2 linked regions of the Mus musculus genome follow. The protein of the gene in region 2 interacts with the protein of the main gene of each other region in a biochemical or structural test. Links are inferred from orthologs where the notes say so. Each region holds a gene or a part of one and is shown on either strand. Other genes may lie near its edges.

Region 1 (4,262 bases), about 10 Mb from region 2:
CAGGATTGGAAACAGACACTCCTAACTGCACTCAGATCTTCGTCCTGGCCCTGGGTCACATAGCACAGGGGACACCCATGTTCCTGAAGGAAGAATGTTTTTGCTGAAAGGACATAAATGCCAGCCAGATAACAGCTGTCTGGCCAAGCTCCTCCCTCTGACCGGACCCCCATCTTCGTATTTAAATCTTCTAGAACCTATCCTTGGAACTGCTGTGGGCTTGTAGAAAACTAGGTGTCCTCAATGTCTTCCAATTTTTGTGAAAGGTAGAGCAGGTGCCTTCAGCCTTACGGCGCAGACCATCTGAGGGCTTCAGGGTTTCTGTAGTCTACAAAAACACTTTGGTTTTATGTTTTAAAAAAAATGGGCAGGGAACTATAATGAATTTTAATATATAAAAGGAAAAGTTTGCAGGGTTTAAACTAATGTGTGGTTTTGTTGACAAGTAACCTAAAAACAAAACAAACAAACAAACAAACTGTAACATAATGTCATCTTGGTGTTTAATGCCATGGGTGGTATCAGGTGAAGGCTAGCTAAGTACCAAATCTTGTGTCCCCAAATCTCTGTGCTGAAACCTCCAGGCAATGGTGTTAAGTGGTGGGCCTTTGGGATGTGGTTAGTCCCACCAAAGAGACATGGGATCAGTGCTCTAGTAAAAGGGACTCCCAAAGAGCCCCCTCCCCACTCTCCATGTGCCAACACAGTGAGAAAGGCCACCGGAAGCTAGCCCCAACTTGGACTTGCCATGGCTTGCCTGTTGGACTTCCAGCCTCCAGGGCAATCATGTGTGTGGTATTGTGTGGCAGCCAGAAAACAGAATGTTCTACTGGTAACAGCTGGGGTTGGTCAGAATCAAGAGTACTAGAAAGTGTCCTGTGTAGAAAAGGAACCTGAAGCTCACAAATCATCCTTATATAAAGCACACCGAAGAGAGGAGCCCTACGGACACTCAACTCACCAAGTCCAGCCAGCCAAACTCCAGCAGCTCAGCTTGGTTGCCCTGCTAGCTCCCCATATCCAGGAGAGCCCACTTACCTTCCACACAGCAGCCGCTGATTCTGCCTGACCATGCAGGTCCCGGGCATCATTTAAGTCCTTCCTCATGATTTCCACAGAGCCCTTGTTCTCCTGGGAGAGAGAAGCTGGTTAGAGCCTGGGAAGAAGGATTTGAACACCCCGATCAGCAGTCTGGCGACTGGAACTACTCGTCCGGTCTCTGCTGGAAAGTGGTTGTTTCGTAAAAGGGTCTCCTGTGCTTCTACCTCTTCAGAACTAGGTGTACAGCAGGCAATTCAAGGTCAGCTGTGTGATTCCAGGATTTTAGGTAGGTCCCCTTTAGTGTCAGCTTGATTTAAGACAGTGACTTTCCTGACTTCTCTGTGTCCTGCTTGGTCTTTGTGGAGATTGCTGTCTTAGTAAGGGGACGACAAACCATAGGACAACCCCAGCAGTATGTTCTGACAGAGTGTATCTACCTCAGTTTGGGACCTGGATGTAACCACAGGCCTCCACCTCAAAAGTGTTCTTCACAACTTATTCCAGAGGCTCATGGTGCATCATTGCAGAACATAAGGATAACAGCACCCTCAAACACGCTAAGCTACGATTTTCTCTCCTGTCGGGCGGAGACCACGGCTTTCCTACCTGGCTATTCAGACATCTCTCTCTGGGTCAGGGATGATACTCTATCTAGATCCCTGCAACCCATCTTCACACAGAGTCTAATAGTCGGTTTCTGCCCGGTGGCAGGTGCTACGTGCAATGACCAAGAGAGTATAGCAGAGAAGGTTCCTGAATGAGGTGGACCGACAGCCCCTCAGAGGGCTGCAAATGGTAACTGGTAGACCAAAGACCACTCTCAGGTCTCCATAAGCAAGTGGATGGGCGGGGCTTGCACCGATGAAATCACACCGGGATAGGAGCAAGAGGCCTTGAGGAATGGGATCGGGACTTGAGGGGAATTCGAGAAAAATAGAAGTCTTAAGGTTGTATAGAGATAAGGCACAGCTAGGCCAGAGACCTGGGATGAAAGGGGGACGGAGGAGCATGCGCTAGAGATAATAGCTCGAGGGACATAGCAGGGTCCGGGAGACAGATAATAGAGATGAAGGAAGGCAGAATCACGGACTCCAGGATCCAAGAGCCCCTAGCATGGCAGGGTCCCCGGGGAAGGGAGGGTGCTGGGCACCCATGGGATGCGGGAGAGGGAAGAGGAGGTCAGCACACTGATCGAATGCCTGACTCCAGGTAAGCCACAAAGGTGGACAGTGTGCAGGGGCCCCTCGCGCACCTTGCCGCGCAGGGCCTTCCTCCAGCGCGGTTCCCACTCCGGCGGCTCCGGGCCAGCGGCCATGCGGCAGGCGGAGCACAGCGGATCCCCGTCGGCGCGACAGAGCAGCTGCAGCGCGGCCTCGCTGGCAGGGCCATCGCGCGCCGGCGCCGCGGCCGCCTCCTCGAGAGCCAGGAGGCGGCGGCTGAGCGGAGGGCGGCTGGGCTCTACGGCGCGCTGCCAGCAGTCATCGGCACACTCCGGGCACGGGAAGGGCCCGTCCTCCTCGGCCCAGAAGCGCACCACGCACGCCCGGCAGAAACGGTGGCCGCAGTCGGCGCGCACCGGTTCGCGGGGCGCGCGCTGACACAGGGCGCAGATGGCATCAGCTGGGCCCGCGGGGAGCGCCAGGGCTGCGGGCGGCGGCGCCGACGAGGGCGCGGGCGGAGAGGGCGCAGAAGGGCCGAGGACCGGCCGGAGATCAAGGCCGACGAGCCTCAGCCTACGACTCAGACCCAGACTGCGCCAACGCCGGGCACGCGCGCGCGCGGGGCGGGGTCCTGGCTGCCGTGCGCTCTGACGTCCAGGTCCTGGCAGCTGCGCATTCCTCCATCCAGGTCCTTGCAGCTGTGCGCTCTCATTTCAGGTTCTGGTATTCGCTCATCGCCCTGCCCATGATTGAGCAGCTGAGCTCTCTTCCACACTGGTTCCCGTAGCAGCTCACGACCTTTGTCCTGATGGTGTCAGTCGCGGGCTCCAAACCCAGATCCTTACAAAGATACTCCCTGTGTCCTATAAGATTACTCATCCTGCAGGGTACTGCCCCAACATCATGAATAATTGCCCATCTCCCACAGATAATTTGGGAGGTGGTCTGTCAGGAAAGGCTTTTCCAGGGTGACTTATCGCTATACCTTCAGCCCTGAAGCAGGATAAAACTGGCTAGGTAGGCAGATGCCTGTGTAGTCAACCAGGAGTATGACCAAATTAAGATAGCGACATAAAATGAAGTCAGGGAGTCTCACTGTGCACACAGAACAGCAGCACGTTTTGCAGGAAAGCACTCTAAAGAATATTGTGTTAATACAGCTGTAGTCAGCTATCTGCAATGTGTGACTCTTCAGACTGAGATTGCGGATATAACTGTAAATGTGACTGTGGTGGTTTGAATATGCTTGGCCCAGGGAGTGGCACTATTAGGAGGTGTGGTCTTGTTAGAGGAAGTGTGTCACTGTGGCCGTGGGCTTTGAGACCTCACTCTTAGCTGCGGGAAACAGTCTTTTGACTGCCTTGGATCAGGATGTAGAACTCTCAGTTCCTTCTCCAGAGCCTTGTCTGCCTGGATGCTGTCATGCTTCCTGCCTTGATAATGGACTGAACCTCTAAACATGTAAGCCAGCCCCAGTTAAATGTTCTTTATAAGAGTTACACTGGTCATGGTGTCTCTTCACAGTAATGAAACCCTAACTAAGACAGTGATGTTGCCATTTATATGCTCCAAACACTATGGCAGCAGCCACATCTGTACTAAAGCTATACAGCCCTTTTCTGGTCATTATTTCCTAGACAATAGAATGAAGATTTGCACAGTATTCACATCCTGTTAAGTATCATAAGTCATCTAGGAAAAAAATATTACATAGAAAGATGCATGTAAATATTATGATGTTTTAGCTGGGTATAATGATACATGCTTTTAATCACAGCACTTAGGAATTAGAGCTGGCAGTTCTCAGTGAGTTCCAGGCCAGTTTGTCTACACAGTGAGTTTCAGGCCAATCAAAGCTATATAGTAAGACCCTGTCTCAAAAATAAATAAATAAATAAATAAATAAATAAATAAATAAATAAATAAAAGTGTGTGTCTGTGTGTCTGTGTCTGTGAGTGAAAGAGAATTGTGTATGTGTGTGTGTGTGTGTAAGAGAGAGAGAGAGAGATGTGATGTGTGTAAGAGAAACATTTTATCTGAGGGATTGGAGTGTCCTTAAA
Region 2 (4,160 bases):
AAAGAGGTGGAACAAAGGTCTGGATGGGTGAACTCTGCTTTAGGAAATGAATGGTCAGATGTAAAAGTCTGGGATGTCCAATAGCTACAGATATAAAAGCAGTTAAGGATAAGGGGAGGGCCAGGCATGGTGGCACACAGCTTCAATCCAGCACTAAGGAGGCAGAAGCAGGTGGATCTCTGTAGGTCTGAGGCCAGCCTGGTCTATGTAGCAAGTTTCAGGGTAGCCTGGGCTATAGAGAGATACCTTGTCTCAAACAAAACAGAACAATAATAGCAACCACATAGGGCCCAGAAAGGAGCCTGTGTATCTGAGTTTCATGGGCTTCCCTTCCTAACCTAAGGGCTTAGGGCTGGTGAAATAAATATCTCAACAGGTAAAGCTGTTTGGCTCATAAGCCTGGCAACCCCAGTTCAATCCCTAGAATTTACCTTAAGGTAGAAGACAGGAACTGACACAAAGTTGCCCTCTGACCTTTACAGGCAGACAGTAGCCCATGCACCCAACTATAGAAACACAAATAAATAGATAGGTAAATAGATAATTTTTTAAAGCATAAGAGGGTCCCTCCAGGCCTCCCCTCTGATCCCAGTTTCATAAACAAATGACCTTGCCTTAAAAGGCACTCGTGGTTCCTCCTTTCATTCTCAGGCACCTTTGAGCCAAGAACTGAATTTGTGAGGTAGAAAATGATAGTGACTCGTGTTTGTCCATAGTAACCAAAACAAGTCCCCAAGCCACAGTGCTCTGCCAGGAACAGCTCTGATCCCTCCTCAGCATCAGCACAAAGGGCTTCTCTGTGCAGTTTTGCTATCCTGGAACTCATGCTGAAGACCAGGCTGGCCTCGAACTCACAGTGATCTGCCGGCCTTGACTCAATGTGCTGGGATTAAAGGAATGTGCCCCCACTGCCCAGCCAGAAACCTCTAATTCTTAAATTAAAGCTCAGAAAACAAAACGTTTTCCTCACTGTTTTTTTTCCTCCTGTGGCAGAACATGCCTCAGGCATGTGTGGCTCCTCACCGTATGTTCCTACTTAATATGACGTGTTTCTGTGAAGAAATGCTAATGCATTCAAATTACAAGATGCTGCTACAGGTCCTAACTGGTTTGTTACGAATGACTGTGCACCCTAAAGATGAATTGAACAGCTCTAGTTTATATTATAAATTATATAGTCAACCTCTGTAATGTATACCATATTGTCTTTCTGAAATCCACCCTACTGTTTCAACCATATTCTCTCTCTCTCTCTCTCTCTCTCTCTCTCTCTCTCTCTCTCTCTCTCTCTCTCTGCCTTGGTCATCCACAACCCTATGCTTCTCACACTTGGACTCACTAGAAGCTCCTTGCTCTCCCTCTCCTCTGTTGACCGGAACGCTTCATAGTCTTCCAGTACCTTCTTCAAGGCCCTCAGCCTGGAATCCAGCAACTCCTGTGGTAGAAGGAAGACACGTGGTCAGAAAATTCTGGATACCCTCTCGTGTACTTTCCTAGAACCATCCAGGAGAAAGCCAAGATTCTGCTCTCAGGAGCAGGAGACTGGATAGATACCATCTCTGGCTATGGGGTGAACAGAGACTTGCAGACTAAGCCTATTGGTGCAGAACAAATGCAGGGGAACTCCAAAGGTCCGGGAGTCTCACTTCCTCAAGGGCATCAATCACGTGGTCTGCGGTGAGAATCGAGACTCCCACCTTGGTTCGGTCTATCTTATCTTCAGCTCTCCTCTCATCCTGTAGGAAGGCTGGAGCACAACAGGGCAGCAGAGACTGGGAGCTGCACACGCCTCTTGTGCCGCAGCCTATCGAGGGACAGACTAAAAGGGAAGATGCCCAGAACCAATGGGCTTCACAGCCCTTCAGACAGACCACCTAACCCAGGACGCTATTCTGTGTTCTTCCTCTTTGAACTTGGTACTTTGTGTAGTGCCACGCCCCTGGGAACGCAGTAGGAGTGTGGCAGTGGATATGTGGGCGTGACAAACAGAATTTCTCCTGGGCAGAGTTACATTAGCGGTTGGGGACAGACAAGATTTCAAGTCCCTGGGGCCATCTTCCAGGCCTCCAGGCATCGGGCTCTGAGGGACGAGAAGAGATGAGGGGAAAACAGTTTTAGAAAGAGAAAAAGGAGACCGGGGCTTTTCTGTAGGACCCTGCCTGCAGTCCGCAAGGAGAGCTGGGAGGGCTGGAGCAGAGCCAGGGCTCCGGGACATCCTGCACCCACCTTGGCCTCCTGCACCGCCTCCTCCAGCGGCAGCACGGCGTGCGAACGGTGCTCGCGGGCGCGGTCGCACACCACGCAAATGGCGCGGCCGTCGTCTTGGCAGTAGAGCTTAAGTTGCTCTCCGTGTTGGGAGCACCGCGCAGCCGCCGCCCGGGCAGGCACCGCTGGAGTCCCGCGCTCCCCGGGGGCGGTGGGGGGCAGGCTGAAGCGCCGAAGGAGCGAGGCCACCGCGGCCAGCTGTCGATTGGGTCGCAGCTGGCTGGGGCGCGCGGGCTCGCGGCACTGAGGACAGGGCAGTGGGCAGGGCAGCGTGCGGGTCGCCGTGCCGGTCCCAGCTCCGGGACGCTCCCAGCAGCGCATAATACAGGCTCGGCAGAAGCTGTGGCCGCATTCGACTGACACCGGCTCCCGGAAAAACTCTAGGCAGATGGAGCACGTCGCCTCGCCTTGGAGCTCTGCCGCTAGGGCCAGCGCCTCGGCTCCTGCGTTCGGCCCGGTCCGCGGCCCCACAGTCGCCATCCGTGTCCTTAGTACATTCGAGTCTTGTGGCTTTGGGGAGGTCCCTGGATGCTACTGTCCAAGCTGGGCTGAGCTCCGAGTACCCACTGGGCGAGGAGGGGCGGGGCCGGCAGCGGGCAAGCTGAGACGTGAGCCGAGGGTGCACCCAGCTGAGAATGGAGGCAGGTGCTGCCCTTTCTCTGGGTTCCCAAAGCCACCACCCTAGCCCCGATCTCCCTTTTGTCGACCCCCCTTCCACCGCCTTTCTAGGCCGCCCAGTATGGCCCAGTCAGCAGTAGGGAACTGTCGGGGACAGGTGAGCGCGCAAGGCCAGCTGGGCTCCACTCCCAGTAGCTGACCTAGGCTGACCCTGCCCTACAGGGGCAAAGGCCTGGCTCCCGGGACAAGGTGTCTGGTTCCCCGCATACCGACTCATCCTGGCACTGCGCTGAGCTAAACTTAGGGTCTGGAATTTGGCTCTACCTCCTCATCCCAAGCGTGGCCTTTTGTCCACTTTTGTAACTACATCATCTCTTACAGTTATCCCTTTAATTTTGAACAAGTAATACAGCCATTTACCCTCATTTCATTCAGAATCCACACCTACCCCAAATCCCTCTGTCTCTCCCCAGCTGGTATACAGCTGGGTTCCAGGGACCGTTTTGTTTTTGTTTTTGGAGTAGTTTTTCTATCCTTTCATTCTGGAGGCCACTTGGGTCAAGCTTCTTTCTCTGCCTCTCTCAAAACCTCTCTTGTCAATGTCTCTATCCACTCGCCCAATTCTAACCGAGAGTTGCAAACCTCACCTCTCTGGTGTGTCTGTCCTTCCTCACAGCATTTTCTCCTCGCCACTCGGGATGCTACCACCTCCATTTCTCTCCGGTCTATGACCTCCTACTTTCTTCTTGGGTTCTAGAGTCCCCCACTCGGCTCCTTGCCCTGGTTCAATCCCCCGGCCTCAGTCACCACACTCTACAATCGCTTCCATTTTTAAAAAATTTTTTTAACTTTAGAGAACCCTTTCAGAGCCCATGTCTCCACAGTATCCATCAGAGCCCTCTGCTCAAACCCCACCAGTGAGTGGCTGCTAACTCCCAGGAAAGAAGTTGAAGTCTTCATAATAACCTCAAGGCTCTTGCTTGACTCTCCTCTTCCACCATGGGACGTTTTAAATTTTCTGCAAACTCACCTACAATTATTTTGAAGATAAGGAACATTATTAGGTCAGTTGAAGAAACAAGTGAATCCCTGGACTAAAGAATGGCCACCGGTTTCAGGCACAGGACAACTGATGGTGAGCTAAGGCTCTTCTGGTTCACCAAGAACTCAGAGTCATGACATCGAGGACCTTCGGTGATGTGTTATTTGCTGGGCCTGGTGGCACAGACCTGTAAATCACAGCGTTAAAGGGCACGGGGTCAGGAGTTCAAGGTCAT

Evidence for each region. The genes of interacting proteins can lie anywhere in the genome.
Region 1: the proteins of Trim7 (region 2) and Rnf187 interact in a test that uses a peptide from one of them, tested with the Homo sapiens proteins (2 studies listed by BioGRID, with this or other methods). The link is inferred for Mus musculus from reciprocal best matches to the Homo sapiens genes TRIM7 and RNF187.

What each region holds. Positions count from the first base shown.
Region 1 is NC_000077.6:58,936,102-58,940,363, forward strand, and holds the start of Rnf187 (E3 ubiquitin-protein ligase RNF187), read right to left. Parts: upstream 2,806-4,262; 5' UTR 2,684-2,805; coding exon 2,294-2,683; intron 1,132-2,293; coding exon 1,039-1,131; intron 1-1,038.
Region 2 is NC_000077.6:48,836,112-48,840,271, reverse strand, and holds the start of Trim7 (E3 ubiquitin-protein ligase TRIM7), read right to left. Parts: upstream 2,802-4,160; 5' UTR 2,746-2,801; coding exon 2,227-2,745; intron 1,908-2,226; exon of another isoform or gene 1,647-1,907; intron 1,612-1,646; exon of another isoform or gene 1,558-1,611; coding exon of another isoform or gene 1,555-1,557; intron 1,436-1,554; coding exon 1,340-1,435; intron 507-1,339; coding exon of another isoform or gene 477-506; exon of another isoform or gene 432-476; intron 38-431; coding exon of another isoform or gene 1-37. UniProt on the Homo sapiens protein: E3 ubiquitin-protein ligase that have both tumor-promoting and tumor-suppressing activities and functions in several biological processes including innate immunity, regulation of ferroptosis as well as cell proliferation and migration.